Linked DNA regions of Notamacropus eugenii. The protein of the gene in region 1 interacts with the protein of each later gene in a pairwise test. Links are inferred from orthologs where the notes say so. Each region holds a gene or a part of one and is shown in the gene's direction. Other genes may lie near its edges.

The links.
Region 2: the proteins of CAMK2B (region 1) and CCM2L interact in binary tests that used the Homo sapiens proteins (3 or more experiments, as listed by UniProt). The two-hybrid records come from large-scale screens. The link is inferred for Notamacropus eugenii from reciprocal best matches to the Homo sapiens genes CAMK2B and CCM2L.
Region 3: the proteins of CAMK2B (region 1) and RAP2B interact in binary tests that used the Homo sapiens proteins (3 or more experiments, as listed by UniProt). The two-hybrid records come from large-scale screens. The link is inferred for Notamacropus eugenii from reciprocal best matches to the Homo sapiens genes CAMK2B and RAP2B.
Region 4: the proteins of CAMK2B (region 1) and ACOT7 interact in binary tests that used the Homo sapiens proteins (3 or more experiments, as listed by UniProt). The two-hybrid records come from large-scale screens. The link is inferred for Notamacropus eugenii from reciprocal best matches to the Homo sapiens genes CAMK2B and ACOT7.

Annotation. Positions count from the first base shown.
Region 1 is NC_092872.1:522,555,660-522,563,508, reverse strand, and holds the start of CAMK2B (calcium/calmodulin-dependent protein kinase type II subunit beta), read left to right. Parts: upstream 1-4,834; 5' UTR 4,835-5,203; coding exon 5,204-5,268; intron 5,269-7,849. UniProt on the Homo sapiens protein: Calcium/calmodulin-dependent protein kinase that functions autonomously after Ca(2+)/calmodulin-binding and autophosphorylation, and is involved in dendritic spine and synapse formation, neuronal plasticity and regulation of sarcoplasmic reticulum Ca(2+) transport in skeletal muscle.
Region 2 is NC_092872.1:431,208,661-431,216,509, reverse strand, and holds the start of CCM2L (cerebral cavernous malformations 2 protein-like), read left to right. Parts: upstream 1-4,839; 5' UTR 4,840-4,854; coding exon 4,855-4,884; intron 4,885-7,609; coding exon 7,610-7,777; intron 7,778-7,849.
Region 3 is NC_092877.1:375,391,072-375,398,175, reverse strand, and holds RAP2B (ras-related protein Rap-2b), read left to right. Parts: upstream 1-4,094; 5' UTR 4,095-4,795; coding exon 4,796-5,347; 3' UTR 5,348-6,852; downstream 6,853-7,104. UniProt on the Homo sapiens protein: Small GTP-binding protein which cycles between a GDP-bound inactive and a GTP-bound active form. Involved in EGFR and CHRM3 signaling pathways through stimulation of PLCE1.
Region 4 is NC_092876.1:44,698,629-44,706,123, reverse strand, and holds the start of ACOT7 (cytosolic acyl coenzyme A thioester hydrolase), read left to right. Parts: upstream 1-4,487; 5' UTR 4,488-4,535; coding exon 4,536-5,158; intron 5,159-7,495. UniProt on the Homo sapiens protein: Catalyzes the hydrolysis of acyl-CoAs into free fatty acids and coenzyme A (CoASH), regulating their respective intracellular levels.

The DNA of each region.
Region 1 (7,849 bases):
ACAATCATATTAAACATATTTCCACATCAGTCATTTCGTGATAGAAGAATTGGAACAAAAGGGAAAAACCATGAGAAAGGAAAAGAAAGAAGAGTATGCTTTTATCTGCATTCAGGCTACATAGTTCTTTCTCTGGATGTGGACAGCATTTTCCATCATGAGTCTTTTGAAGTTGTCTTACATCCTTGTATTGCTGAGAAGAGCTAAGTCTATCAAAGTTGGTCATCATATACCGTTGTTACTGTGTACAGTGTTCTCCTGCTTCTGCTCACTCAGCTCTATATATTTTAGAAATGAAGCCTTTATCAGAGACACTGACTGTAAAAATTGTTTCCCAGCTTTCTGCTTCCCTTCTAATCTTGTTTGCATTAGTTTTGTTTGTGCAAAACCTTTCTAATTTAATGTAATTAAAATTATCCACTTTGCATTGCATAATATTCTCTATCTTCTGTTTGGTTATAAATTCTTCCCTTCTCCATAGATCAGACAGGTAAACTATTCCTTGAAGGAGCATACATGCTAATGAAGGAGGCAACAGGGAAATCATTAGATACACGCAATGTATAGACAGTGAAGATAGAAGGTCATCGTATAGAGAGGGCGATAGCAGCTCTGGAAGCCAGGAAAGGCCTCCCCTAGAAAGAAGAAGGAACCCAGAGACGCCAGGAGTCAGAGATGACAAAGATGTCAAGATGGGAGATGGGATTTCACAGTTAAGAAACAAGCAGACTGGTATCAGTGGATCATTCAGCCACTTAGTCACCTGTGTTCGTCCTTTGTTGCCAAAGAAGACCATGCCCTCAGAGAAATGATGACATGACCTGCGCTTGACTTTGTTTTGAGTGAGGGAGAGCTGTGCAGGTCACCAGCCTCACTTCTCTTCCAGATCCATCCAGTGATCAGATATTCATCAGGATGACTGGAGATGACCCAGGATGAGGCAACTGAGGTGAAGTGACTTGCCCAAGGTCACACAGCTAGTGTGTGCCAAGTGTCCGAGGTGAGATTTGAACTCAGGTCCTCCTGACTCTTGCACTGGTGCTCTATCTACTGCACCACCTAGCTGCCCACTTAGTCAACTAGCATTTGTTAAACCCCTTCTGAGCCCTGGAGATACAAAGGAAAAAAATCCCTGCTCTCAAGTCTAATGGTGGAGACAACATACAAACAACTATGTACAGACAAGCTATTTGCTGCTGCTCTTGTTCAGCCATGTCTGATTCTCCGTGACCCCATTTGGGGTTTTCTTGGCAGAGATGCTGGAGTGGCCTGACATCTCCTTCTACAGCTCATTCTACAAATGAGGGTTAAGTGACTAACCCAGGGACATACAGCTAGTAAGTGTCTAAGGCTGGATTTGAACTCAGGTCTCCCTGACTCCAGGCCATCCTTTTTGTCCACAATGCCACTCAGCTTCCCAGACAAACAAGCCACATACAGGACACGTTAGGGACATTCTCAGAGAGAAGGGAGTAAGATTAAGGAGCAATAAAAGACTTGAGGCAGGGATGCCAGTTAGAGGCAATAATCTAGGAGAGAGTTGATGAGTGACTGAACTATGGTGGAGATTGTGTGAGTAGAAAGGAGGGGAGTTATATGTGATATATATTGTGAAGGTTGAAGCAACACTCTCTGGCAATGGATTGGAGATGTAAGTTGAGTGAGAGTGTCAAAGTCAAGGATGATACTGAGGTGGGGAATCTGGGTGATTAGAAGGATGGTGAGTATAGTTGACAACAATGGGGATGCTCAAGAGATGGAGAGAAGGACTGGTTTGGGGGAAAGAGAACAAATTTTGTTTTGAACATGTTGATTTTGAGTTCCCTCCAGGATATCTGGTTCTAGATGTTAAAAATGCATCAGTTGATAATACATCATGTGAACTCAGAAGTGCGACTAAGGTTATTATGTAGTCCTAGGAATCATCTGCATAGAGATGATAACCAAACCCATGGGAGTTGATGAGATCACCAAGTAAGATAGTATAGAGAGAAAAGAGAAGTGGTTTCAGGACAGAGCCTTGGGGGACAGCCATGGTTGGTGGTTATAACAAGGATGAGAAATCTGCAAATGACTGGTTAGAGAGGTAGCAAGGAAGAGAACTGGGAGACAGTCATATCATGAAAGGCCAGAGAAGCGAGTGCATGATCAACAGTGTCAAGGATTTCAGAGAGTTCAAGGAAGATGAAGATTGAGAAAAGGCCATTGGATTTGTCAGTTAAGAGGTCACTAGTAACTTTGTCCAGTCAAGTGTTCATTGAATGATGAGGTCAGAAGTCAGATTGGAGAGGAGAGTGAGAGAAGAGAGAGTGTAGACAGCTTTCTCAAAGAGTTTAGCCAAGAAGAGATCTAGGACAATTGTAGGATATGGTAGGATCAGATGAGGTTTTTTTAAGCATGAGAGAAATATGGATGTATTTTTAGGCAACACAGAAGGCTCCAGTCATTCTTTGTTAATAATAATTATAATAATAATAAGTAGCATTTGTAAAGTGCCTATTATGTGGCAGGCACTGTGCTAAGCACTTTACAAATATTATCTTATTTGATCCTCACAGCAACCCTTCAAGATAGGTGTTATTATTATTCCCATTTTACAGTTCAGGAAACTGAGTCAGGCAAAGGTCAAGTGACTTGCCCAGGGTTCAATCCAGTTTCATGGCAGGTAGTGATACTGTCTTCTGTGAAGTTCCAGGAGGTTCTTCTAACAGGCAAAGATTGGAGGAGGGATGGGAGTGCACTGTTTTGCCTGTGTTATTGCCCTGGGGGTTGGGGGGGAGGTGGAAGGGGGTCCTGTCTTGGGACAGACTGGCACTGGAGGCCCTGGAAGGGGGGAGATAAAGGGGCCTCTGCCTGGGAAGGACCAACCACTGGCATCTGGAAGGTGGAGGCCTGACTAGGAGTTCAACTGGCAGCAATTGAAGAGAAGATGCCAGGAGATGGATGCCAGGGTTTTGTCTCTTGCATTCTGTCATTTCATCTCATTATGCCAACCTGAGGAGGTCCTGTTTTCTGGGAGCAGGGCAGTGAGGCCCTTCAGAGGAATAACCATGAATGCAGTTTAGATTCAGGAGGAGATTAGTAGTGCCAGATGAAACCAGGCTTCGTAGGCTATAGGATCATAGATTTAGGGCTGAATGGGACTTTAGAGATCATTTACCCTAACCCCCTCATTTTACAGATAAGGAAAGTAAGTCTGAGAAGTGAAGACTTCACCAAGGTCACAGAAGTATTAAAGAAGAAAACCAGGATTTAAACTCTGGACCCGTGACCTCAAACCCAGAATTCCTTATGCTGTACTGAGATGAGCGTTGGTAGTTCTCTCTTTTGGCTCCAACAGCGAGTGTTCAACACTCTCCAATAAGCAGACTCTAACCCGGACGACCACCTCCTCTATTCTAACCTAAAGGAAGGTACTGAAGGCATTGCCATCAGGCATCAGGGGAATAAGCAATGGTTATTCGGTCAGAGTATCCAGGTTCCTATTCTTCCTTTGACACTACTAGGGTGACCTTAACCTCTGTGGGCCTTGGTTTCCTAACATGCAAAATAAGGGGATTGGACCAGATGGCCCCTGGAGACCCTCCTGGCTATCCTTCTGTGAACTGAGACTATGTTCCATCCTGGTAGGTGCAGCCAGACACCTCCTTGCTCATAATTTCTAGATATGAAGCTTGGGGAATCAGAGATCCAGCACCTGACCCTGAAGTAATGGTTTCTTGTTTGTGAAACCGGGTCAGTTTTTCTTCCACTCCCTCCCTCCCCCTCCTCAGCATCCTTATCTCCTCCTCCCTGTTGCTGCCCATAGCAACAGCTCTGGCACCTTGCAGTGAGGGACTGATGCCTGCAATCTGGGTCCAGGGCCTCCCTTCCAGTTGGGGAAATATATCCTCTTCCAGGCGTTGAAGAGTGGGCAGGTGGGTGGGCAAAGGGCCCTGGTAGAAGGGGGAGGAAATGTCCCCTCTCTAGAGCAAGGATGACCATAAGGTTAGAGCTACCCAGAGATGCCTGATGGTGGCTGGTAGGAAGAGACTGTCTGCTTTTTATTAGCTTAACCTCCTGCCCCCTCTATCTTGCCTCAGAGCTGCGTTTGCTCAGAACTACCATTTGTAGGGGGTGAGTGGGGGTGGATAGGAGTGGGTAGGATTAGGAGGGTGGCTAAAATCAGGAGCTGTGGTCCCAGGGATCCAGTTGGTGGAAGGACTCTACCTTCTCCTTCGGGGTTCCAGTTTGTTTGAGGGGATGAGTTAAATAAGGGGGCAGCTTTCCCACCTCCTCACAACCCTGCTGCTGCCCCTCCCCAGGGGCTCTGCCCTACTCCACCCTGCCTTTATAGTCTATGTTCAAAACCAAATCTCCTGCCTCAGCCTTAGAGAAAGGGTTTCTAGGTGTTCCAGGCATCGGAGTTGGGTCACCTACCCTGTCTGCAGTCGTGGGTGTCCTGAAGGGAGAAGGGGTCGGATTGGTTAACTTGGCGTTCAGTTTTCGGGTGTGAGTGTGAAGGGTGTTGTGCAGTGTGGAGAAGGGGTGGGGTGGGGGGGTTGAGGGTCCGCCCACGAGTGTGCAGTGGAACTACATATCCACGGGGGTGCTGGCCTCCTCGAGGGTGACTGTGGGTGGGGGGGAGGGTCCTGCCGGCAGGGCAGAGGGAGGGGTGGGTCCGCGCTGGGAGCATTTCCCCGCGTGTGTGTTCCGCAGGGAGGAGGAGTGGGGTGGGTCCACGCTGTGCTGTGTGCGGGTCCCCGCGTGCGTGGTGTCTGTGTGTGTGGGGGGGTGCCGCGCAAGGGAGAGGGAGGGGCCGGTCCACGGCGTGTGCGGCAGAGCCCCGCGCCTCCTCCCGCGTGTAGGTGTGTGGCACACACGCAGTGAGCAGATCTCGCGTTGCGCTGCCCAGAGCCAGCCCCCCAGCCTCCGGCCCCCCGCCTGGAGCGGAGGTGTCACTCTCTGCCCGCGCTGCTGCTGCTGCTGCTTCTGCCGCCGCCGCCGCCGCCGCCGCCGCTGCGGGGCTAAGCCGGAGCCCGAGACCGAGCCTGAGTCCGAGTCCGAGTCCGAGTTCGAGCCCGAGCCCGAGCCCGATCAGCTTGACGGCTACACCGCGCCTCCCCGGGAGCCCTGCGCCGCCACCGCCGCCGCCGATAGCCTGAGCCCAGAGCGTGCAGCAGGGGAAGCGGCAGCTCGCAGAGCCCTCTCCGCGGCCGCAGCGATGGCCACGACCGTGACCTGCACCCGCTTTACCGACGAGTACCAGCTCTACGAAGATATCGGCAAGTAAGGATCCAGGCGGCACCGCGCTGGGGGAGGGCTGCAGGGGGAGCCGCGGGGAGGAGAAGGCTGGGCTAGGGCCATGTAGGTGAGTCCGGCTGTGGGGGGCTGCGCCAGCCCTGCGGGAGGAGGAAGCCCATGCCTTCAGTGCCCCCCTTCCCCCCTCCCCCGCGAGGAAGCGCCCAGTGTCTGTCTGCAAATGTCTGTGCGTGCTTGCATGTATCGCTGTGGTGTGTGTGTGTGTGTGTGTGTGTGTCGGGGCGGGGGGGAGGACCAGGGACGCGGGGGTGTCTATGTGCCAGGGGCGGGGGGCGCATTGCGGACCCCGTGCACCTCCCAGTTCTTTGCGAGCTCTCCGGCGCCGGGCGTCCCAGGGCCAGGCGGACAGCGTGGCTCCTTGGGTACGGCTGCTGCGGTGACAGTGGCGGTAGCATGGCCACAGTCTTCTGGGTGCCCTGTTTCTTCACTGCCCCTCCCCCGCTGTCTCTCTCCCTCTCCAGCCCTGGCAGCTCCACTCCGGGCGCCCGGGGCTTATTAGGGGCGTGGGGGCGGCGGGGGCGGGTGCAGGTGCCTCCCTAGCAGCATGCAGACGTGACGCATTTCGCTAAGGGGAGGACCGAGGGCTGGAACTGGAGGGGGTTGGGGGAGGGGGTCGTTCAGTGGCAAGAAGCCGACCCCCCGCGGCGGCCCCGGCTTGCCCAGCTCCCCTGCCCGTAGCTGCTGCGGCGGTGCAGTCGGGAGGCTCCGGGGGCTAGGGCTGCCGCTGGACTTCCCCAGCGCTCAGCGCCTTTTCGGAGAGGATCCTGCACATGTCGAGTCGGGGTGGGGCTGGGGGCTGGGGTTTAGGGGCGGCACTCCACCCGCCGGGCTGTCCCGGCCATGTGCTGGCACACCGCTTTGCTGGCTTCTGCATCTCCAGAAGCCGGCAGGGGTTTGGGTGGAGATGCCCAAAGAAGGCCCGCCCATTCTCCTGGGGCGGCGGGGGCGGGGAGGCCGGTTGAGGGCGAAGGAAGAAGAGGCTGCGAGCTGGGGTGTGTTGGGTGTAAGTGCTAGCCGAGGTGGGGGAGAACCTGCAGGGTTCTGAGCACCCCTCCCCCATACCCTGAGGCTGAATCCTTAAGCTCGTACTCTTTAGCCCCTTCCACTGAGACCAGCTAGAAAGGATGTGATTGTGTGTGTGTGTGTGTGTGTGTGTGTGTGTGTGTGTGTGTGTGTATGTATGTGTGAAGTCCTTCCATGAGGTTTGCTCTTTTGCTCAATTTACTCCTTACAAGGTCTCATTCCTTGTCTTCCACTCCCGTGCTTCCTCTGGGAAGTCGTGGACATCAGGGAGGGGAGGATTTTGGACAGAGTGCCAGTGGCTTTTGGGTGAGGTTCTACCGGGTGCCTGGAGGCCGGCTGAAGCACCTGCTAGGAAACAGACAGAAGCTAGAGGAGGGCGTGCAGGCCTTACAGTGGCAACAGATCGCTCCTCTCACAGCAACCCTGTTTTAGGGGCCTACAGGTTGAAGCCGGCGGCGGAGAGACTGGTTTCTGAAATTCCTTTGTGGGAAGGTGTGCAACCTCATCTACCAGTATTCCCATAATAAGTTAACCCTGGAATAAAGACATAGCTTTTCTTTCTTTGGCTGGCTCTCCTTATTTCCCATATCCTGAGCCTTCCAGGCTGGGCTTCCCAGGGGGTCTAGCAGCTCTATAACATATTGCTCTAGTGAGATGGGATTCCAAGAGAAATAGAATTAATTGCTCATCTTCTTCTGTGGGCAGGAAACCCTTGGTGGCACTGGGAAGCCAAGGTGAGGACCTAGCAGTAGAAGTGAGGGGGTGGGGAATAAGAGGGCAAAAGATTTTGATTCTACTCCAGGCTTGGCCGTAAACTAGCTGTGTGACTTTGGGCAAGTCTTTCACTTTTCCTCATCTGTAAAACCAGCAGAACACACAAAGTAATTTTTAAGATTTTATGTGTCTCTGTCTGTGATTATCCTGGCTTTGGACTCAGGTGGAGGTGGGTTGGGAAAGGCAACCAATTTCCTTTTGCTCTGAGGTCATTGAAGCTCTGGAAAATCTTTTATGTACTCACCAGACTCTTTGGTCCACATTTTCTTTTCTCAAGAATACCTTTGTGATTGATACCTTGATGTGAGATACCTGGCTCACTGCTAACTGAAAATCTCCTGAGAACTCCAAGCGCTGGCCATCGGAGAGGGCAGTATGAAGGGATTTCCTGATCCTCCGCACCCTTATTAAGCTCCCTTACAATTCTGTAGCTCTCCTCCTGCATCTCTGCTTAAGCTTCCCCAGTTAGAAATGATCTCATTTCCCCCTTCAACTCCCCACTTTATGTACCACTTTGCTTCCATTGCCAAGATATACTTAACGATGTATTATTTCGTTGTATAAATACTTTTGTCTATGTCATAACTTTCTGCTACACTGAGGGTAGGACCTCTCTTCTTCCAAACTTTGTGTCTCTCTCGTATGTGTCTAGCTATGTGCTCAGTATTCAAGGGTACTTAATAAATGTTTAATGAATTGAAAGAAAGGTAGTGTGGTAGAGCTGATAAGTGAAGGCTTGGGTTCAAGTTGA
Region 2 (7,849 bases), about 91 Mb from region 1:
GTCAAGTTGGGGAGGGGAGGGTTAGTATGGGAAGGTTCTTTGGACTGCAGGCTTTGGTTTGGGATGTACACTGTTCCCTAAGTGGGTCTGCTCTGACCTTGGGAGGGCTCTGATGGGTGGGTGTGGGTGCAGGTGTGGGTGGGAGTGAGAGAGAACATTGGTTGTGTGATTCTGCTAAGGGGGTTACCCAAGAAAAGAAGAAACTGGAATTGGGGATAGATGGGTAAACCTATCTCCCAAGCCCAGAACTGTCCCTGGAAATATGACTGCCAGGAAGTGGGGTGGGATGAGTAGCCTGAGACATAGGCCTTGGTGGGTCCTCCTTGACAGTGTCATGGCACCTCAGCTCCCTCTCCCCAGGAAGGCCTTGAACAGATGAGATCCTCCTTACCCAGGGAGGCATCCTGGAAAGGCACATTTCTATGCATAATCACAAGAGCTGGAGACACTGCAATAATTCAGGGGAGGGGGCTCTTGGCTCCATCTATTCCATGAATGCCTCAGACCAAGTGTAAGAGAGAGCATCCAGATCAACTGAGAGAGCCCCTGCCTACCCAGGCTGGAATCCTGATCAGCTGCAAACTGCCTCGAGTTCCCATAGGGCTAAAGCTCCCAGATGAGTTCAGTGCTTTGAACCATGAACCAAGCTCAAAACCATGAGCTTGTCTAATCCTACACTGAATTGAATTCACTCAGCATTTATGAAGTTCTTGCCCTTTGCAGAGCTCATGGATCTAGGCTCCAGGGGCCATATAAAGATCTGATTGCAGATGCAGCCCCCACTTTAGATGGGATTCCAAATTCAGACATGGTTCAAGTTTGAACACCTCCCTCTTCTTCCTCCTTCTTCCCTGTCCCCTACTCCTTGCCTATTGACTGACAGGAATCCTCAACTACAGACTCCTCTCAGCTTAAGCCCCAGCAGCTTCTGCTCAGTGGGTTCTCTGTCAGCTCATTTGCCCTACTGGGTACTGGCCTTGCCAACCCTCACCCCCTCCTCTTTCCTCCTTTCAATTCCGTTGCACCCTCCCTCTGTCCTCAACCTTATGTCTCCCTCCATGTACTTCAATATTGTTGGTGCCACCCTCTTCTTCCTCTGCCTTCCTCTCGGGCCCAGGCAGGGGGAAGCTAGGGGATCCCAGGCCGGGCTTTCTGTACTGAGACTTTTTTGTATGCCACAAACTTTTTGTATATTTTTAATTTTGCTGCAACATGAGATATTAAAGTCATTTCAGTACAAACCCCTCTGGCTCTTGTGGATGTTTCCTGAATTGAAGAAGGAGAGACAGATGGGAAGCCACAGCTTAACCTTCCCTACCAAGCCTCCCTCTTTGGGGGAAGGGTCTGTCTCAGAGCAACAACCAGGAATTCTGACCCTTGGGGGAAAAAATCAGTGGAGGTTGGGGGTAGGAATGGGAACCTGGCATCTAGTCCTATGAGAGGTTGAGATAGTCTGGAAACAGAATCATGGGAGCTGAGTAGGCTGAGAAATCGGGAGACCGCGGTGTTTGAAAGTGGGCAGAGGTTAGGGAGGAGAAAATGTGAGCCAGGTACTGAACTTATTGGACAGGAGAGATAGTGACCCCAAGATATGGGGATCATTGCAACAGGAATCTGGTTGTATCACAGAGAGTGTAAAAGGGGGCACAGAGAACCAGGAATATGCTAACTGCTCTTCTTGGTATTATGCATCAGGCGGTGTGTGAGAAGGAACAGCCACCCTTTCACCCTTGGAAAATATGCCAAGAGATGGGGTGTCTTTAGGAGAAAGTTGGGGATGGGATGGAGGCAAGACCAACTGGGATAAACGGGAGTGAACTGGACCTTCCTCTCAAATCTAGACAACCTACTGGGCATAAGAAGTGAGTCCCCCTGCCTACCTCCTGCTTCAGTTGTGGGGAATAGGGATGGGGCAGCGAGAAGCTGAAATCTGTGTTTGATTTCCTCTTCTGATTAGAGAAAGGGATAAACCAATCAGTGAGACTGCTTTGAGCCCTACTCTCCAATTATACCATACAACTAAAGATCATCCAAACCCTTCTTTCTACAGATGGGAAAAGTGAAGCCTAATGAAATTAAGTGACTTACCCAAAGTCATAAAACTAGTAAGTAGGCAGAGCCAGTATCTGAACCAAGTTCTTCAGATCCAGGGCTCTTGATATATGGTAAGTGACAAGAGAAGGAGAAACAAAATGTCATCAAATGATTTAAAGATAGGAGGCTTCATGGAGGAGGCAGCATCTGAGATGGGCCTTAAAGAAGAAAAAGGATTGCAACAAATTAGACATTTTGGACTTTTCGCTGTGAATAGATGGAAACCTCTGAAGGGTTTTGAGTAAGGGGAAAGATGACCAAAATGGCTCTTTAGGAAAATGAGCATAGGAGGAATAGAAGTAGATTCTGGTTAGGGGACTAAAGAAATATTCTAGGGAAGAGGGGTGGGGGCCTCTGCTAGGGGGGTTAGATTAAGCAATCCCTAGGGTAGGGGTAGGGAGCCTGTGGTTTCAAGGTCACATGTGGCCCTCTAGGTCCTCAGGTGCAGCCCTTTGAGTTCAAGTTTTACAGAACAAATCTTTTTATTAAGGGGATTTGTTCTGTGAAGTTTGGATTCGGTCAAAGGGCTGCACTTGAGGACAAGTGGCCTCAAGGCTGCAGGTTCCCTACTCCTGCCCTGGAGTACCTTCCAGCTCAGATATCTCCTTACCAGCTGACACATGCTTGGAGAGCACAAAAAATAATCTTTTATTATATTCCTATAGCATTTAAAAGTTTACAAAGTGGGGCAGCCAGGTGGCACAATGGATAGAACACTGGCCCTAGAATCGAAAGGACCTGTGTTCAAATCCTGTCTCAGACACTTGCTAGCTATATGGCTAGGCAAGTCATCTAACCCAGATTGCCTCCCCACCCTCCAAAGAAAAAGTTTATGAAGCACTATTTTCACAACTCTGCAAACCAAGCAATATAAATATTACTCACTATATTTTACAGATAAGGGAACTAAGGTTTAAGGTAAAGCCCTTAGCAACACATCTAGTCAGGGCTTGAGGCAGGATTTGAAGTCAAATCCAGTGTCCTTTCCATTATCCTGTACTACTTTTTTTTTTTCACTACAAAGAAAGCCTGGTTTTCCTTCCACAAGCAACCCTAGGAATTTGCAGACAACTCCCAAGATCTTACAGGGTAACTGCACTGCTGGGGAGGTCTGAAGTGACTAGGAGGATGTGTCATAGAGGACAGGAACTAAATATGCTCCCTTCCTGACTGGGACTGAAGCCTGGTCCAGACCAGCTTCCTGCCACCATGGCTAGAAGAGCAGGATATACAGAGAGGAAAGAGGAAGCAATTATAAGGCCTAGCCCTTCCCAGCCCAGGCCATCTGGCCTTTGGGGGTAGGGAGGGTGGGGAAAATAGGGAAGGCTGGAGGGATGGAGTAAGGGCCTGGGAAGTCCTCCATGATCCCCAAACCTGAGGAGGCACCTGTAGTTTCCACAAATAGATCACAAAATGTCAGAGCTAGAAAGGACCTCAGACACTGTTAAGTCTAAGCCATCTGAAAGATGTGGTAACTGAAGCCAAGAGAAAGAACATGAATGACTTGTCCAAGATCATACAGCCATGGTGGCAGAACTGGGAGTGGCAACATTATTTAAATCATCAATATACCCATAGCTGCTTCCTCCAAATAATCTCTTATTTTATTCAGTTCTTGGTATTTTTCCATTCCTTCTCAGGTAATTTTCACAACCCTGCTTTGAGGTAAATAATTATCCCCTTTTGAACAGATGAGGAAACTAAGGCCCAGGAAAGGCAAGCTATTTATACAGTATCACATAGCAAATGCAGAAAGTCAAGATCTGACCTGAAACTAGAACTCCAGTCGCTTGAGGCCAGTTCAGGCCTCATTTCACCAAGTTTTAGACATTCACAACCTAATGCTGATTCAGGGATCAGGGCTGTGTTTGAACCCCTCTTACCAGCTTGCCACAGCTGATCATTTCATGTGAACATCTACACCTTGGAAATCTGAAAATGCTACATATTAGGACTTGGTTGTTTTTGTTGAATGTTGAGTAGATTTAGGAAAGTGATAATAAGGGAGATTAAATCTTAAAGTATATCCTGCAAACAGATTTGGGGAGGAAGGGGAGACAGTTGTTAAACATTTAACAGCACCTTTCTGCCCATGGTGTAATATAAACAGTTCCAGGTTTGGAGTCAGCAGAACTGGGTTCAAAGCCATGCTTATTACCTATATGACCTTAGATGAAGCCCCTTTCTGAAGGTGGACTAGATGCCCTCCAAAATCCTCTCTGAATTCTGGGGTCCTGTGGTTCTTTGAGTGTTCATCAGATCAGAGAGAGTTTGGGATGGAGAGGAATGAAGGCATAGGAAGGGATCGTGAGGGGGTAGGGTCTAGTGTTGGCTCCTACGTAGCCAGGGACAGTATGAAGACAATGGGCAATACTGGGGTTTTCAAGAGTCTGAAAGGGAGGTTAAACTTCATCCCTAGGCACCAAGTCTGGATAGGAATAAAGTGCAGTCACACAGAGCCCAGCAGGTGTACTTTACCAGCTCTGATTATCTCCTATTGGCCCTCTGGGACAGTGGTTCCCATAACTTCCCCTTTATTCTCTGTTCTTACCCAGCTCTCCTCAAGAGGGGCTGCCACCCTGCTCAGAACTCCATTCCCTGACCTGGGGTCCCTGGCACTTCCACCCACTCTAGCCCAGCACTTCTTATCAGGCCAGGAGGGGCAGGAATTCCTGGCTTGCTTGGTGGAGTTTCCGAGGCAGGAAATACAACAAAGAAAATCTCCAGCCAGTAGAGAGGTGGGGGTTGGGGGGACACACCATGGAGTTCGAAGGGAAGAAGGGGAGAAAGGTATGTTTGGAGCTGTGGCTTGGGCATGGGCTTCAGGGCCCAGAAAATGGGGGATACTGGAGGGGGGAGCAGTGAGAGGGGGAAAAGATGCCTCTGGAAGGGTGAAGCCAATGTTAGGGCCTCTCTTATTAATGGATGAGATCCTATTACCTATCCCTGCTCCCTGAGACAGATAGATTGATCATAGAACTTAGAGCTGGAGGGAACTCGGAGACCAACTTTTTTTTAAGTCTAACATTTAAGTTAAGTTTCTTAACATTTTTGTATATTACGGATCCTTTGGCAGTCTGATGAAGCCCCTTCTCAAAATATTGTCTTTGAATGCATAAAAGCAAAGTATATAGGGTTATAAAGGAAACCCATTACATTGAAAGATGTAATATTTTCCCTATTCAAATTGGCTGATGGGGTAAACTAATTTACTGATGGAGTTCTAGTCCAATTCTCTCATTTTCCAGATGAAGAAATGAAGCCCTGAGAGAAAAATGTATTTGACCTTAGTATTAGTACAGTGAGAAGACTGGAGAGCTCTAAAGATAGGTCTAGCAAGGGTACTGGTTTTTCTCCCTCTCTAAGGCTGCTTAATGGAAGCAGCTTCCCAAACTGGCCCTTACTCAGAGCTGATTGTGTTAATAAGAGGGAAAGCCAGATGTCAGTCATATCTCTGGATGACACAGAAGAGCTACCTTGGGAGTCTGAATTTTGGGGGTAGACTTTCAGTCTGTCTCTGTTTCCTTGAGCTGAATATACGTCCCCTGGAAGAGCTTGTGTGGCAGGTGAGTCAGATAGAGAACACAATATTGGCATTCTTCTCTCATGAACCGCCTCTTGCTTTCTTGTTAACCGTGAGCCTTTCAGTAAGTGGTTTGGTTTAGGGACACTGGCCTAGAACAATTTATTTTTGTAAGCTGATTATGGGCAAGTCAGAGGTAGAGAGGCTGGGGCTCTTGTCAGGGTTATTGGCTTACAGATCAATTGCCCTGCCTTTCTGATTGTGCTAATACGTAATGGTACAACATCTGAAATGTATTCTGCAGCTGCTCTCAGTGGTTCCTGTTCTCTGGATCTTTTTCAGAGAAAAGACAGGCAGGCAGACTTCCCCCAACCCCCAACTTTCTTCTGTCCTCTTGCTTTTAATGGCTCTAGACTCCCCAGAACCAGATGGATTAGAGGGACAGATTGATTCAGACTGCCACCCCAAACTTATTTCCCCAATATTCTTAGCAGACCCTGCTGTCTGGACCTTCCTGGTTATCCATCCTCAGAATCCCCTTCCTGAATCTCTTTTTACAGTTCTCTCCTAGTAACTATCTTTTTTAGATTGGGATAAAGGTGGGTTCTAGGTCACTCAGCCCCTCCTAGGAATTCTGTCCCTCAGAGATCCCTATTTGTTTCTTTATATCTATCTGGGCCCATAGGCCCATCATGAATAAAGTGCTGTACTCAGAGTCAGGAACACCTGGGTTCTAATTTCACTTCCAACATTTGCTAGCCATGTAACCATGGAGAGGCCACTTAACCTCTCTGGGCCTCAGTTTCTTCTGTAAAATGGGGATCACAATACCCATAGACCCTAAATTGCATGATATATTTGAGGCTCAAATGAGATAATACATGTTAAGAACTATGTAAATGACAGCTTTTATCTGTCTGACCATCCATCTCTGAAAGTCACTATGTCTGATTTCAGAATTATCTGTCTCCTCTGGTCAGAGACTTATACTCTTCCCCTGGAGGTCAAGCAATGCTTAGACACCTTCCACCTGAACAGGCCAAGACTCATAGGGTTTTAGTGTATGCAAACTTCTTTGGCCAGACTCAGACTCACAAACGTACACACACATGTGCTCATACACCTACTTGAATGCACATGGACTAAGGCATTCACAAGAACACAAGAACTATCTTTCTCTCTCTCTCTCTCTCTCTCTCTCTCTCTCTCTCACACACACACACACACACACACATACACACACACACACACACACACACACACACAAGTGTGGTATAATGAAAAGAGGGCTAGAGTTGAAGGCCCAGCTCTTCTACTTGTGACTGTGGACAACTCATTTATCTCCTCTGAGCCTCAGGTTTTTTTACCTGTAAAATCAGGGGGTTGATCAGGTGACCTCTAAGTTTCCTTCCAGCTCTAAATCTGTGATCCTATGAACCATATGCAAACATAGAAGATACGTATACATCCACTCTCGCTCACAGATACCCATTCATATTTACATTTCCTGTAGATGTAATTGCATACTCAAATACGCACAACTCATGCACACACACAGCCTCTGGTCACACTTAATGTCCTCAGTAGTACAGACCTATCTAGGAGTGTGCTGGCAAATGTTTAACACCAATTCTCTAAAAAAAAAAAAAAATGCACACATGGTACACTTTTAATTTTAATCTGCATTAATATTTTCTCAGAATTAATATTCTCCTTCAGTCTAGACAATCAACAAAATAATGAGTTGAGCCCTGATTTGTAGTATTTACCAGTATTCAAGGAGTAAATACACTGAAAATTTAACAGTAAGCTCATAGGCATGAGATGCCTCCAGCACACCCCTGGCCCTGCCCTAATTCTGTCCTTATTGGGAATCCCCAAGTCATACTAGATTAAAGTACACACCCACAGAGCAAGGGAGACCCACTGAAGTCTGGCTGAACCCTTGGACCCTTCCCCAGGGTTCTCACCCCCCCACTCTTGCTTCCCTAGGGTTTTGTGTCCCCTATCCGCCGGCTGGTATTCCCTAAGACAGGGCGTCGGTCAACTGGGAGAAGTCCTGTAAGCCGACGGCCTCTCCACTCTGTGCCCCTGTATCCCCCGGACTACCTCATTGACCCCCAGATTCTGCTGTGTGACTACCTGGAAAAGGAAGTAAAGGTGAGGAGGGAGAAAGAAAATTACGTGGGAGGACACATGGGCAGGAAATTGGGACTGAGCCAGTCAAAGTTA
Region 3 (7,104 bases), on another chromosome or scaffold:
ATGGTGAAGGAGATATGAGTTTGAATCCTGCCTCAGATACTTATTAGGTAATGGTAGACAAATGAAATAATCACTTGGTACCTCAATACCCCCTCCCATTAAATGGAGGTGTGAGCATCTTTCTTACAGGGTTATTGTGAGAATCATATGTGAAAGCACTAGACAAGCCCTAAAGTGTTACGTGGTTATCAGCTATTATGAATTTATGAAAGAATCTATACCAATCATTTTTACCAACTGGAACACCTTGAACCTAAATGCTGGGTCCTAACCCTGGGTGCTCCCAAGAACTTGAGTAGGATGTAGATTTCCTGGAGGATTATATCAGGTAGGCAATCAATCCCAACTTAGTAAGAACCAGGAACAGTGCTCACTGCTGGACTGTCTCCAGAGGAGTCTGCTGGGAGAGAAAGTGAACTGGATTTGGAAACAACTTTGCTTTTTGCCAGTGGTAATACCTGGACATGGCACTGCTTGCCCTGACACATGTCTTTTTTCCTCATTTGTAATATGGGGGGGGAGGGGTGTACATAAGAGGATCTCTAAAGTTTATTTTGTTTTGAGTTTTAAGCCTATGATCCTAAGAGCTCCTTCTTTATCTGACTGGGGTTGTTGTCTGCCTGGTACCTCTTGGCACCTCTTGGTACCTCCCTGCTCCCTCATAGTATAAGCCCATAGGCTACTTCCAAGTCACGCTGCTTCATGGGATGCAAGGGACAGGGACAGTCCTAAGACGGTGCCTACTAGGTGGCATTAGAGAGCTCTTTATGAAAATTCTTCGAGATTTAAAAAGGACATAATTGTAAAATAACAAAGTCATAAAATACACATATGTATATTTAGATATATCATACACATATGCAAAAAGTATGCAATGTGGGAAAGCTTCCTGTTTTTTTTCTTCAATATTTCCTGGCTATAGAGGAAGGATTAATACCTGTTACCTCAGTTATAGCCAGAGAAGCCTTTAACTCTAGAGTCAAATGACCTTGGACTTCAACCACGGTTCATTAACTGTGTGACCTCGGGTAAGTCATTTATCTCCTTGTACCTCATTTCCTCATCTCTAAAATGAAGCTTTTGGACTAGATGAACTCCAAGGCCTTTTCCAGCTCTAAATTCAGCATCCGGTGACCTGTTTCAAAGAATATGACAAGTCAGCGTCTGGTTTAACCAAATGCAAAGCAGGGCCTTCCACAGGGTGTGGTGGGGGCCACACCCTCCTCACCTTTAGGCGAGTCCCGGAGAAGGCTGCAGCCTGCAGCCGTCCCAGACTCGGAGCTATCTGAATAGTTTCCTCCAAGAATTTCAGTTGCATTACAACAGCAACAAAGTTGCCTCTTGCTCTTGAAAAAGTTTGGGATTTGGGGCTTCGGCCGTCCTCGATCACTAGGCATCTTCCGTCTAATCCTGGGTGGAAGGGGGAAACACAATTCGGTCTGAGTCTCGTACTAAACCCAAAGCCTCCTGAAGGAGCGACCCCAGCGGACCCCTCTTTATGGGCCAGCCGAGCTCTTTCTCACGGCTCCCAAGCACCCCTGACCCATCCACTCCTCCCTCGCCCACCTCCTCGTCTGATCCTAAAATCTGAAGACAGGTCTTGACATCTCTCCTCCTCGAGAAATAAGGGAGGGTCGGGACAAGCCGAGGCAGCTCCCCGTTACCTCCCAAAGAGCATGAGGGAGCCAACAATCCCACCCCTAACCAGAGAGACTTGGAGGCAGGTCTGGGCACTTCTCCCTCTCCTCCCTAGGACTGGCTTCTTGGCCGAGCCTTTCCCTACTCCCCGCCCCCCTTTCCTTCGGGGGCAGGACTAGGTGTGGTGTTAGCTTCTCCCTTCCCAGGCCAGAGCGAGGATTCTCCGCTGGCACCCTCCCCCGAGCCCGCTGCAGCCGGGAGAAGGGATTGGCAAGCTGTGCCCACCCTAGCTCAGCCTAAAGAGATACGGACCCTGGGGTCTCTAGGCTCAGCACCTCTAGGTCTACTGCAGCCTGTTCGACTTTGTTCTCCCCAAACAGCTGCTTTGGGGGGGGTGGGCAGGGAGAAGCAGGGGGAGGGGAAGGGAAGGGACGGGAGACACCGCTGAGAAACAGCTGGGCCTCCGCCTCTTCACTTAGTCTCTATTGATAACCAATCACAAATGGGGGATACTTTTCAGCCAATGAGGCCCTGGAGCCTGACACAACCTCGGCGACAGCCAATGCCAGGCTACCTGGGGGCTGCGGGGAGAGGAGGATTGCACCCGTCGACCAATGGGCCCCGAGTTTGGGAGAGGAGGTAATTTGAGAGCCAGGGTGGGTGTGTCCAGTGAAACCTTCCTACTTCTAACTCCCGCCCCCCCACCAGCTGCCGCTCGTACTGAGCATGCTCAACTCTCTCCTATCTCCTGCCCGCCTCATAGAACAGTTCTGACGGGCTTAGCCAGATTGGCCGGGTTTTCCACACAGCCTAGAAAAGTCTGGAGGGAGGGACCCAGGATCCTGCAGGATCCTCGCACCCCAAGTTCTGCAGTTGGTCCCGGCTGGAAAGAGAAGGTCGGGGGCCCCGTGGGCGACCTCCAAGGACCAAGGAACCAGCATCAACCGCAGAGATCCCGCCTTGGCTGGCTGCGGTCCGGGTCCCTGGCTCGAACGCCTCCCCCTCCCCCCCCGCCAACCCCAGTGGTCCGGCAAGGGTCAGTGGCGTGGGCCGGCAGAGGTTGACGGGTTTGGGACCCAGAAGTAGATGTACTCTCTGTATGCGGCCAGACCACATCATGCTACTCTCCGCACGTCTCCCCATTTCCATCACTAAGCATTCTGCCTCCCCATTGCAAAATCAGAACACTCGGGGTTCCAAGCTACCTGGAACCTTAGGGTTGCAAGCACAGTTTGTTTAGCTTCCTTAGGGGAATGGGGGGTGGCGGTGAAGGAGGAGCAGAGCACTCTGGGGCTCGAAGTCTGGGGAGCACCTCCTGCGATCCAACAAACTGGCACCACTAAACTGGCAAAGAGCCTCTATCCCCGGTCGGGAATGATAAGTAAAGATAACGGCCCTACCTAAACTCTCAAGGATTTCTGGCCCAACCTCACTGTACAGTGGAAGATACAGAGGTCAAGAGAGGCAAACTGACTTGAGAGCTGTAGTAAGCATCTAAGAGAGAATTAAACACCGGTCCTCCATTCTTCGTCCTTGTGCCACGCAGTCCAGGTTCCTACCCCATTTTAGGGAGATGGAAGCCGAAGTACAGAAAGAAGAAAGAACTTAGGGTAGCAACTGGCCAAGCCGGGGTCAGAGCCCATGTCCTCCAAATTCCAGTTCAGCCTTCTTTCCAATGCTGAGCGCTTGGCCAGTTTTTAAGCTCTCCAAACTAGCCACGATTAAGGGTTAGTATAGCAATCAACAAAGATTTTTTAAACGACTCCTATGTGCCAGTTGGGGGCTGCAAGGTCAGAAAAATAAAACAAGTAACCGCTCTCAGGGAGCTAATATCCTAGGGAGAAGACAAGGTGTACTTTCAAAAAAGTCGCTACAGAAGAACACAGGTGATATTTGAGAAGGGAACACTGGTAGAAGCTGGGGCATCAAGATACATACAATATATGTGGAGTGCCCCCGCGTCAACACTCTGCTTGGGGAGCACAAAGCCAGAGAATGGCACCCGCGCCTCTGCCTGCTCCCAAAGGGGATCTCCTGGATTCAGCAACGAATGGTTTTCCCCGGAAGGCATCCCAGAATACACAAATGGGGAGGAGGGCACCCAGGAGCCCCGTTTCCCCCCAATAAAACCGCCTTCCAGTGCGTCCCCCCGTCACTTGTCAGTCATCCCTCCATCTGCCTGCCCGGTGTTGTGGGTATCTGGATGCAGGACCCCCTTCATGCCCTCTTGCTAGGAGGGCATACAAATAATAGATCTTATCCTGGAATTGTTTTTCCCAAGGCTGGTGCGCTCATCTCTGGCACCCAGTCCACCTCAACTCCAGCTCAGGGGACCCAGTCCCAACACGAGCCCACAGCTTTCTTGGCTCCGCCCCTGCCCCGGCCCTCTAGGAAAACCCGGAAAAGCGGAATCCTCCCCCCGGCAGCCTCGCCACGACTCAGCGCCCCCTCACTGGGCATGCTCACTAAGGCAGGGCAGGTTTGGGGCTGTAAGTAGGAAGCTGGAGCACTCCCAGGGCTGCTGGGGAGGGAGGTACGGACCGTGGGGCTGTTGGAGGAAGGAGGCAGGCACCACGGGGACTCATGCACCACGCGCTCGGGGCTGGGGCGCAATTAGCAGCCGCCTCCGCAGCCTGCACCCGTCCTTGCCTCTGCTGCCACCGCCGCCAGTGCCAGAGCCTCTGCCACCCCTCCTCCCAACGCTGCTGCCGCGGGTGAGGAGCAGCCCCAGCTACCGCCGCCGCCGCCACAACCGCAGCAGTAGCAGCAGCAGCCCCAGCCCCGGCCCCGGCCGTAGTCCGTGCCCGGCCGATCGCCCGCTCCTTCGCCAGCCCGGGCATTGTCCCTGCGCCTGCCGCCGCCGCCGGCCGCTTGCTACCAGTGCCCCAGCCGCCGCCGCCTGAATGCAGGGCACGGAGCCCGAGTGAAGCCTCGCCGGGGTGGGCGACCACCCCCCACCCGCAGCTCTTTGCTTTCTCTCTCCCTATTCTCTCCTCCCCCGCTGGGTACTAGGAGAGAGCACCCGGCAGGAGCCGAGCTAAGCTTTGCGCAGGTCCCACTCCTTCCCCCTCTGCCCCCACGCCCCCCGGGGGGCCCAGGCCGGAGGGAGGCCGAGAGCGGGAGAGACTCTCGGGGAGGGGGGGGGGGGTAAGAAGCCATGCGAGAGTACAAAGTAGTGGTGCTGGGCTCGGGCGGAGTGGGCAAGTCGGCCCTCACCGTGCAGTTCGTGACGGGCTCCTTCATCGAGAAGTACGACCCCACCATCGAGGACTTCTACCGCAAGGAGATCGAAGTGGACTCGTCGCCGTCGGTGCTGGAGATCCTGGACACGGCGGGCACGGAGCAGTTCGCGTCCATGCGGGATCTGTATATCAAAAACGGCCAGGGCTTTATCCTCGTCTACAGCCTGGTCAACCAGCAGAGTTTCCAGGATATCAAGCCTATGCGCGACCAGATCATCCGCGTCAAGAGGTACGAACGGGTGCCCATGATCCTGGTGGGCAACAAGGTGGACCTGGAGGGCGAGCGCGAGGTCTCGTTTGGGGAGGGCAAGGCCCTGGCCGAGGAATGGAGCTGCCCCTTCCTCGAGACGTCGGCCAAAAATAAAGCCTCGGTGGACGAGTTGTTCGCGGAGATTGTCCGCCAGATGAACTATGCGGCTCAGCCCAACGGGGACGACCAGTGCTGCTCCTCCTGCGTGATTCTCTGAAAACAAGGGGTGGGTGGGGGAGCTTCTTCCTTCGGGCTTGTGCTTTGGTTTGAATTTTTATTGGTTTCTTTTTTTTTTTTTTAAAGAAAAAAGCGAAAGCAAAATACAATACTTCTTTCTCAATGTGATTTTTTTAATTATTATTTTAAGATTGGAAACAACTTTGCAGCGTACAAGGTGTGTTCCAGGTGGGGGCTCATGGCTATTTCAACTGCAGCTGACGAGCCCCAGTGCTCAGTGTCATGGGGGTGGGGGGAGTTGTCTTGTATTTAACATCTGAACCTGGGTGGAAATGTGGCGCTTTCAAAGCATGTACATTCCTCTCGTGGATTTCTTTGATAGTTGCCTGTTTTCCCACTTAAAGCAGCCGTTAGAGAGCTGTATTGGCAACTTGACACCAGGCAAAAAAAAAAAAAGTTTTAATCTGGAGGGAAGGGATGGGAGCTGGAGGAGGATGGGAGAGAAAAAGGCTTGTCAACAACCACTTTCCAAATGGAAGATTTAAGTACCTAGACCGGGGAAGGAAGTGCAGGAAAAGCCTGTGAAGAAATGAAAGGAGAGGAAGAAACCCCGTTTCCAGGCATGTGTGTATGTGTGTGTGCTGGAAGTGAGGGTTAACTGCCTTCCCTGGCAGCCTGGAAGTGCAACCCTGGGACTGATTACAATTCTGAGGATTTCTATGCAAAGTTGGATTATTGTTACAGTGTATCCAATCTGAAATATTGCACAACTGAACTTGGACTGTTTACACTGGTGCCAATGCAGTGTGGAGTGCCAGAAAGTGTCTGCTGATATTTGTGGAAAAAAAAAAAATCTATTTTGTTTACCTACTGTATCAAATGGGAGTCTGGGGGAGAGCGGGAGTGTTTTTTTTTTTTTTATCAGCTGTGAAAAATTACAAATCTGCACATTTTTTTGGTGGGGTGCTTTGTTAATTTTGTTTTGTTTGGGTTTAGGGTTTCCTTTTGGTTGGCAATAACTGATTTTGATGACCAGATCTTTAAAGTACAGTACAAAGACTTCCTCAAATGTGATTCAGGGGCAACAGCGACCCTGTGTCTAGAGTGCCTTCAAAACTCAGCTGTTCCAGCCGTGCCAACCTGTGAAAGTTCCACAAAATCCCATTATCTGCTATGACTCCCCAAAGTACTTAACAGTTTCCTCTCAGTAATCATACCCAACAAGCCGAGACAAAATGGCCTGTTGTTCATGGAATTTCTTTTGATTTCTTTTGGAGCCTTTTACATGTAATTTCCATGTTTTGCAAGTACTCCTGGCTTCACGTAATTTAAATTTTCAGGTATTTAGTGCCCTTTTCCTTCCCTCCCTGGTTTTTTTTTTTTTACCTGTCTTAGGATATTCCTCCAGCCAAGAGCAAAGTTTTAATGTTGTGATGTACCAAGCAGATTCTAACTAATTGTAATTTTAATTCCAGACATGCGTTTAATGGTTGTCTCTTCATCTAAAGACTTTTAATACAAATACCATTTTTAAAAAAATGCAAACCCCAGAGGCCTGTTTGTGTTTTTGTTTGGTCTGGTTTCATCCATTGTATGAAGTCATACACTGTCAAGCCTGATATGGAAAGAGTCATGACTTAAGTCATAACTGAATCTGAAAGTGTTTTTATCCGGGTCTGAATGGATAGATGCAAGTACTTTGGTGGAGAAGTGGGTGGGGTTCATAGGATCATAAATTGGTTGGAATGTTGCCTTCAATTCTTAAGACTGGGAGCAAAACCAGGATGAGAAAGTTCT
Region 4 (7,495 bases), on another chromosome or scaffold:
AATTCAATTTAAAACATTTATTGACTACCTACACTGTATTAGGCACTGGCATACAAAGCCAAAAAGAAAACAACCCCTTCCTTCAAGGAATTTCCTTTTTACTGGAGAAATACAACATCCAGACAGACTTAGAGAAATGAGGTGATTTGAGGAGAAATAAAGCCCAAACAACCTAGTATTTGATAAAATCCAAAGATCCCAATCTGCAAGAACTCATTTTTCAACACAAAAACTGTTGAGAAAACTAGAAAATAGTCTAGCAGAAACTAGATATAGACCAACATTTCACACAATTTGCCAGGAAAAGCTCCAAATGGGTATATAATTTACACATAAAGGGAAATATAAGCAAATTAGAGGAGCAAGGAAGTTAAGTCTCAGATAGATGGATATGGGGAGGTTTTATGATCAATGAAAATTTAGAGAGGTTCACAGAAGGTTAAATGGATATTTTTTATTAAATAAAATTGGAAAGTTTTTGCAGAAACATAACCAATGTGGCTAAAATTAGAGGAAAAGTGAGAAGCTGGGAAGAAAATCTTTGCAGTAAGTTTTTTTCTGAAAAAAGTCTAAGTTCTCAGATACATAGAGAATTTATAAGAATAAGGGCCATTCCTCAGTTGATAAATGGTCAAACATATGAGCAGGTAGTTTTCAGAGGAAGAAGTCCAAGCTACTAATAGTCACATGAAAAAGGGTCTAAATCACTAAGAAGAAGAGAAATACAAATTAACACAACTGAGATACTGTCTCATACCTATGAGATTGGCTAAGATGTTAAAAAGTCAAAGGACAAATCCTGGAGAAGCTTTGGAAAAAAAAGCACATAAAGGTGCTGTTGGTGGAGCTGTGAAACAATCTAACCATTCTGGAAGGCAATTTGGAAATATGCTCCTCAAAGTATTAATCTTAATATACCTTTAGACAGAGGTATCAATACCTGGTCTATACTCCCAAGAGATCAAACAAAGAAGAAAAGGACTTACATGTACAAAAATATCTGACAGTTTTTTTTTTTTGTGGTGGCAAAGAATTGGAAACCAAGGGAATGCCCATCAATTGGGGAACGGCTGAAAAAGTTATATGAATGAGATGTAATACAACTGAACTGTGAGAAATAATGACAGGGATGGTTTCAGAAAAACTTGGGAAGACTTACATGAACTGATGTAAAGTGAAGCGATTAGAACCATGAGAACAATTTACACAGTAACACCAATATTGTAAAGATAATCAACTTTAAAAGATAACTGATGGATTTGGAGTCCATAGTGAAGCATTCTCTCTCTCTCTCTCTCTCTCTCTCTCTCTCTCTCTCTCTCTCTCTCTCTCTCTCTCTCTTTCTCTCTCTCTCTCCCTGTCTCTCTCACTCTCTGTCTTTCTCTCTCTGTCTCTCTCTCTCTCTCTGTCTTTGTCTCTCTCTCACATTAATGTGGAAATTTGTTTTCTATGACTATACACATTTGCGGAGGCAGCTAGATGGCTGACAGAACAGAGTGCTGGGCTTGGAGACAAATCTGAACTCAGACACTTAATAGTTGTGTGACTATGGTCAAGTCACTTAATTTCTGTTTGCCTTCATCCACTGAAGATGGCAAACCACTCCAGTATCTTTGCCAAGAAAATCCCATGGACAGCATTGACATCCTATGGTCCACGAGGTCACAAAGAACTGGACATGATTTAACCACTGAATTTGTAGTGGATTCTCTTTTTCCTGCCTTCTCAATGGTATTGGGAGAGGGATAGGATTTGGAACAGGAACTAAAATAAAATTGAAAATTTTTTTTAAAGAAAAGCATTCCTGATTAGGAGAACTGAAAGGTTTCAAATCCCTACTTTGCTACCTACTGGCTATAAGGCAATGAGTGAGTCAGGTAACTTGTCTGAACCTCAGTGACCTCTTCCATAAGATCAGTGAGTTGGACTTCCTGATCTCTGAGTCCCATTTCAGCTCTAATTGATGGCTGATGGATGATGATATCCTGTGATGATACCTGTATTAGTTGTGGGTATACCACTTGTCAGCTTTAGTTTCCTTATCTCTAAAATGTGGGGATTAAATTAGATGAATTTTAAAATCCAAACTAAAATTCCTTCTGTAGTAGCTAGGAGAAGCAATGAATAAAGTGCCAAGTCTGGAACTAGGTTAAAATTGGTCCTCAGACACTAGCTGTGTGCCCCTGGGAAAGTCACTTAACCCCATCAGCCTCAGTTCCCTCATCTGAAACCACTCCAGTATCTCTGTCAAGAAAACTTCAAATAGGGTCACAAAGAGTTGGGCACAGGTGAACAATAACCACAAAAGCTCCTCTAGTTCTAAATCTATGCATGAGTCCATAATTCTAACTCTTCTGAAATATGGCATTTTTTGAGGGGAGAGAACAGGGCTTGAAAATTGTATTTATGTAGTTATAAGCCTTCCCAATTCCCTTTAAAAATTATTGTAATCCTTTCTAATTCCGGTGACTCTGGACCCTGCATCTGCTTTTGAAAAGGAGGAAGAAACGGTGTTGTTTGAGCAGATGTGTTCAAGGGCATTGACAGGTATAAACCTGAGAACCTGGTCACTTCAAGTGCTATGTGGATACCCAGGTCAAGGAGACCTATAACCTAGAAGCTAACTTGGCTATGCTCAAGCTCTACCAGTTCAACCTGGCCTTCTTCCAGACCACAGTGACAGCCCAGATTCTGCTGAAGGCCCTCACCACATGCAAGTGCATGATTGATTAGACTCATTAAAAAGAGTGGCCCATCAGGAAGATCCTGTACTTGGGAGACTTGCTGGAGACCTGTCATTTCCAAGCTTTGTGGAATGTTCTAGAAAAGAACATGGATCTCCTTCTCCTTAATGGCATCACAGGCTTTGAAGACTCTGTCTCAAGATTTATGTGCCATGTGGTGGGCATCACATATCAACATATTGACTACTGGCTGCCAGCCGAGATACTGGGAGATCTGTCAGGCAACCAACTGAAAATATAGATGAGCAAATGTGTCTGAAACTCCACTGAGGTAGGACAGGTCTTCATTTGCAGCCAAGAAGAAATTATCAAGCCGGAGAACATTGTGGAAAAGATCGACTTTGAGAGTGTTTCCAGCATCATGGCCTCCTCCCAGTATCTCCTTCTGCCAAATGTCTCCTTTTTTCTGCATTTTGTTTCCCCTTACGTCAGCAAGCTTCTTAAATAAAAGTGCTTTACTTCTTGAAATAAAAATTAATGCAATCACTTCTCTATGTCCATGAAATCCCAGGTCTTGTTTCCCTGTTCTTATACTCCCTTAACAAGAGTTCTTAAGCTGGGGTCTGTGAATTTAGTTTTTGTATTTAGATAAGTGAATTTCGATAGAACTGGAGTTTCTTTTGGCGTCCTCAATATTTCATTTATTTAAGAGCATGTTTCTGAGAGGCGACCTGTAAGCTTCTACAGATTGCCAGGGACAGTCCAGGACCTCCTAAAAGGAGAAAGATCCCTACCTTCTAACCATAGCTTCAACGAAAACCACCTCAATTAAGCAAAGTAGATTCCCATCGGTGCCATCCTATAGATTTTCCTACTGGGATGACATTTTCCTTGCTAAGGCTTGGAAACTAGGTGAAGAAAACACAAAGTTCCAGATGCAAATATTTACTGCAATGTCCTGGATCTTATATAAACAATCTCTTTAAAAAAAATTGGGTTGAGGTAAAATAAACAAGAATCTAAGGTCTTTGCTTGGGCTAGATGATATGGTACTTCTGTTGGTACTTCTTTATGTCCTGTTTGTCAACCATTACTGGGTTCCTTTCTAAGAAAGGGAAACAGAACTGGGCTGCATGTGCATGTTTATTTCTTTCAAGATGGGCATGGGAACTCACTATGAACCTTAAAGACAGACAGACAAGGGGGATGTTCCATGTTCGGGGTGATTCCCTCTCACCCCTCTGCTTCTCTTCCTTGCTCTAGATGCCCATGCCAGCCAATGTTATAGTCTCCTTATGTATCAACCATCATACAAGAAAGGCATTTCTCAACAGGATCGGCTATAAGTAGGATAAGAGAGAATGTCCAAGACAGCCCTAGATGCCCGTATTTGTCCTGTCGTGAACATGAGACGATGTCAGGAAAGTCCCATCATTTAGGTGGGTGTCTTGGTCCTGGGCAGAAGGTCCTTCACCTGGCCTGAGAGACTGACCCAGGAAGGCGGATTTGGGGTCCCATGCAAGGCTGAGCTCCCAGAAGCCCAACATGTCTCTGATTGGCCAGTCCAGGTGTTAGGCCTTTCTCCAGTCTTGGGGGTCCCCAGTGGTTGGGGGGGCTCCCCGTGTTTGCCCCCTCTATCTCTGCGGGCAGCGCTCTATAAACTCCTTGAGGGCGGGCTCCAGTCTTTAGCTTTTCTTCGTCTACACTGCCTGGTGCTGAGTAAGGGGCTGGTGGTGATGCGTCATCCGTGACCCGGTTCGGGGTTTTCTGGACAAGGGTCAGGTGACTCGCCCGAGGTCACCCAGCTGGGCAGCTTCCGAGGCCTACGTGGGCCGCGGAAGGGCCTGACGAATGTTTACGCTCATTATGGAGGGGCTGACCAAGGCCGCAGGCCCGGAGGCCGCCCAGGCCGCCAAGCCCCGCTCCGGCCAGCTCCGCGGGGGGCCTGCGTGGGCTCGCGCTCCGCGGGGGAGGCACGTGAAACCGGCGCCAACGGTCTCGGAACGCTCCAGAAGCGGTGGTTTGCGCCCAACCGCCCCCAGGGGCTCGCGCGCGGCCTGGTCGCCCTCCCCTCAGGCAGGCGGTGGGAGCCGCAGGCAGGAGCAAGGGCAGCGAGGACACCCGCCGGCCGCCCCAGCGCCGGCCCCGCCTCTTCCTCCGCCCCCGGAGGGCGGTGCCTGCTCAGTGCAGGGCGGAGAAGCCAGGGGTAGGCCGGGCTCGGCGGAGGGAGGAGCGGCCTGGAGCCGGGGGCGGGGCTTGGCCTCGGCGGCAGCGTCTCATTGGTGTCTCCCAGCAGTCGCCCCGCCCCGTCCGCCTTTCTCCCTCCTTCTTCCCTCCCCTTCCATGGCGCCGCCCGGCCTCATTCATTCCTCCCTGGGCCACTCGGAAGCCGGCGAGTCCCAGCAGCGCGTCGGAAGCGGCGACACCATGTCGGGCGAAGAAACTGCGTCTCCGTCCGCCATCCAGATCAGCAGGTAACGGCGGGGCCCGAGGCGGAGCGGGCACCTGCCGAGGCCCGGCGGGGAGCAGGATGCTCGGCTCCGCCTGAGTCACCGCCCCGGGCCGGGCTGGGCTGGGCCTGGCTGGGCCGGGCCTGGCCGAGCGGGCCGAGCCAGGTCCCATCGCACCCCCCGCCGCCTCCATCCCCCAGGAGGCCCCTCCATCCCCCCTCTCCGCTGCTTGTACCCCACCCGCCGAGCCTCGTTCGAGCATCCTCTCCACCCCTCCCCCCTCGGCTCGAACCCCCCAGGGCCCTGGCTTGAGCTCTGGGGCTCTCACCTCCAGATACCGGCACCCCCCAAACACCGCCCCTCCCCCGGCTGAGCCTCCTTCGCCCATCCTCCCCCTCCCGCACCCCTCCCCCAGCAGCCCAGGATGTTGCCCATCCCCTCATCAGCCCCCCACACCTCCGCACCTCTCTGATTCTCACCCCGGCCACCCCCAGCCCTATTCCTCTCCACCCCGTCAGCTGTCGGTCCTCCCCCAGGGAGGCTAACCTCCCAAAGACCCCTCCCTGACAACCCCAAAGTGCCCTCACTCCTCTCGACCCTACCCCCATCCCCTCCTCCTTTGCCCTCTCCCCCTATTCCCAGTCTGCCTCCCAAGCTGAGCCCCATCTTTTCACACTTTCCGTTATTAACCTCTAATCTCGCCAAAATTCCTTCCTCTCCCCCGCCCCCCCCCCCCCCACCTGGTGCAGCCTATGCCGGCTCTATTCTCACCCTCTCATCTCATTCCTCATAAACCTCCCACCTCCTTACTGTTGAGGCCCACCTCCTTTATTTCCCCTCCTTTCTTCCCTCCTCCCCCAAATACCTACCCTAGGCCCTGTTCTGATACTTCTACCCCTCCCCCCATGCTCAGTGATACCCATCTCCCCCTACCCTAGTACCTTCTCTCTGGGGTCCCTCCTCTTTCTTTTATTTGCCCCCAAGTAGCTTTTCCTCTGGGACTCTACCCCTAACCCTCTGCCTGGGCCCACCCTTCATCCTCATATATTTCCACTCTGAGTAAGACCAATCAAAAGACCAGCCCCCTCTGGGACTGATCTCCACACTCTCACCCCTCACACCCCCTCCTCCTCCCCACCCCAACCCCAAAGTAAAACATTAAAAACAACCAAACAAAACAAGCAGCTTCCATTCTTTGGCCCACATCCCTTCCCTTATGCAAATGGCACCTGAGTGAGCTTTATTTATTTTTTTTACCTTCACCTTGTGTTAAATCTATTTACCTTGCACAGATCTCCCCGAAATGCTCTCTGCTCTTTGTCCCTTTGTCCTCTGTACCATCAATGGACAGTTCCCACTTGAGGATCTCCCTTTCTTGTATCCCATCTCTACCTATGATCTGCCATCCTCCCCAGTTCCCACCTTCTAACGGCTTCAGCCTGGTAGAACTTAGATTTGGGATCCTGTTCATTAGTCTGGTTCCCCCCAACCCCCTTTAAATTGGTGCAGCCAGGGCCTGGGAGGTGCATTGTCAGCTGGCAGGAGGGAAGGAAGATCTGTTACCTTTTTTCCTCTTACACTTAGAGCCCTGGACTTGCTGCTTTCTAATCATCTCTGTGATCTTTTCCTGACCTCCATATGTAAATTAGGAAGGTTTTAGTTGGAAGAGACCTTAGAAATAATCCAGTCCAATTCCCTCATTTTATATCTGAGCACACTGAGACCCAGGAAAGTAAAATGATACTTTGCCTTTGATGCTGATTCTTGCTCTCTGTTTGACCCTCGACGAGTCAGTGACTTTCTTGAACCTCAGTTTCCTCATGGGTACAAGGGATGCTTGGTTTTGACAGCCTCTGAAGTGCCTTTGAGCTGGACCACACTGATGCCCAAGGTCACAGAGGCAGGAAGTGGCCAAGCCCCGTTATTGTTGACTTTGGCTTCACTCTCCCCCCACTTGGTGGTAGGGTCCATTGAGGACATTTCCTCGACCACTGCAGCTAGAGTTGTTTACAGATCAAAAAGCCAAAGAACATCATTGTCCTAGCACACTTCTATCCTGCTTGCTATGTGCCAGGTATTGTGCTGATTGTCTCATCTGATCCTCTTTATTGGGAGCCTGTGCTTTGTGACACTCCCTAAAATGATGTCTCTGGGCATTGCAGACCAGTTGTTTTCCCCCAGATCCTTTGTCTCCACTGATTTGCATCTGTTTCTGTTGTCTTTGAGAAATACACCTCCTCTTGGTGTGGTCCTGTTTCTCCTTGCCCATGTAAATCACTAGGAAGTAGTGTGAAAGACTTTGGCCTGGAGTGGCAGAGACCTAGTTCAATTGGCATTTACTTCCTCTCCTTTATGGTGGAG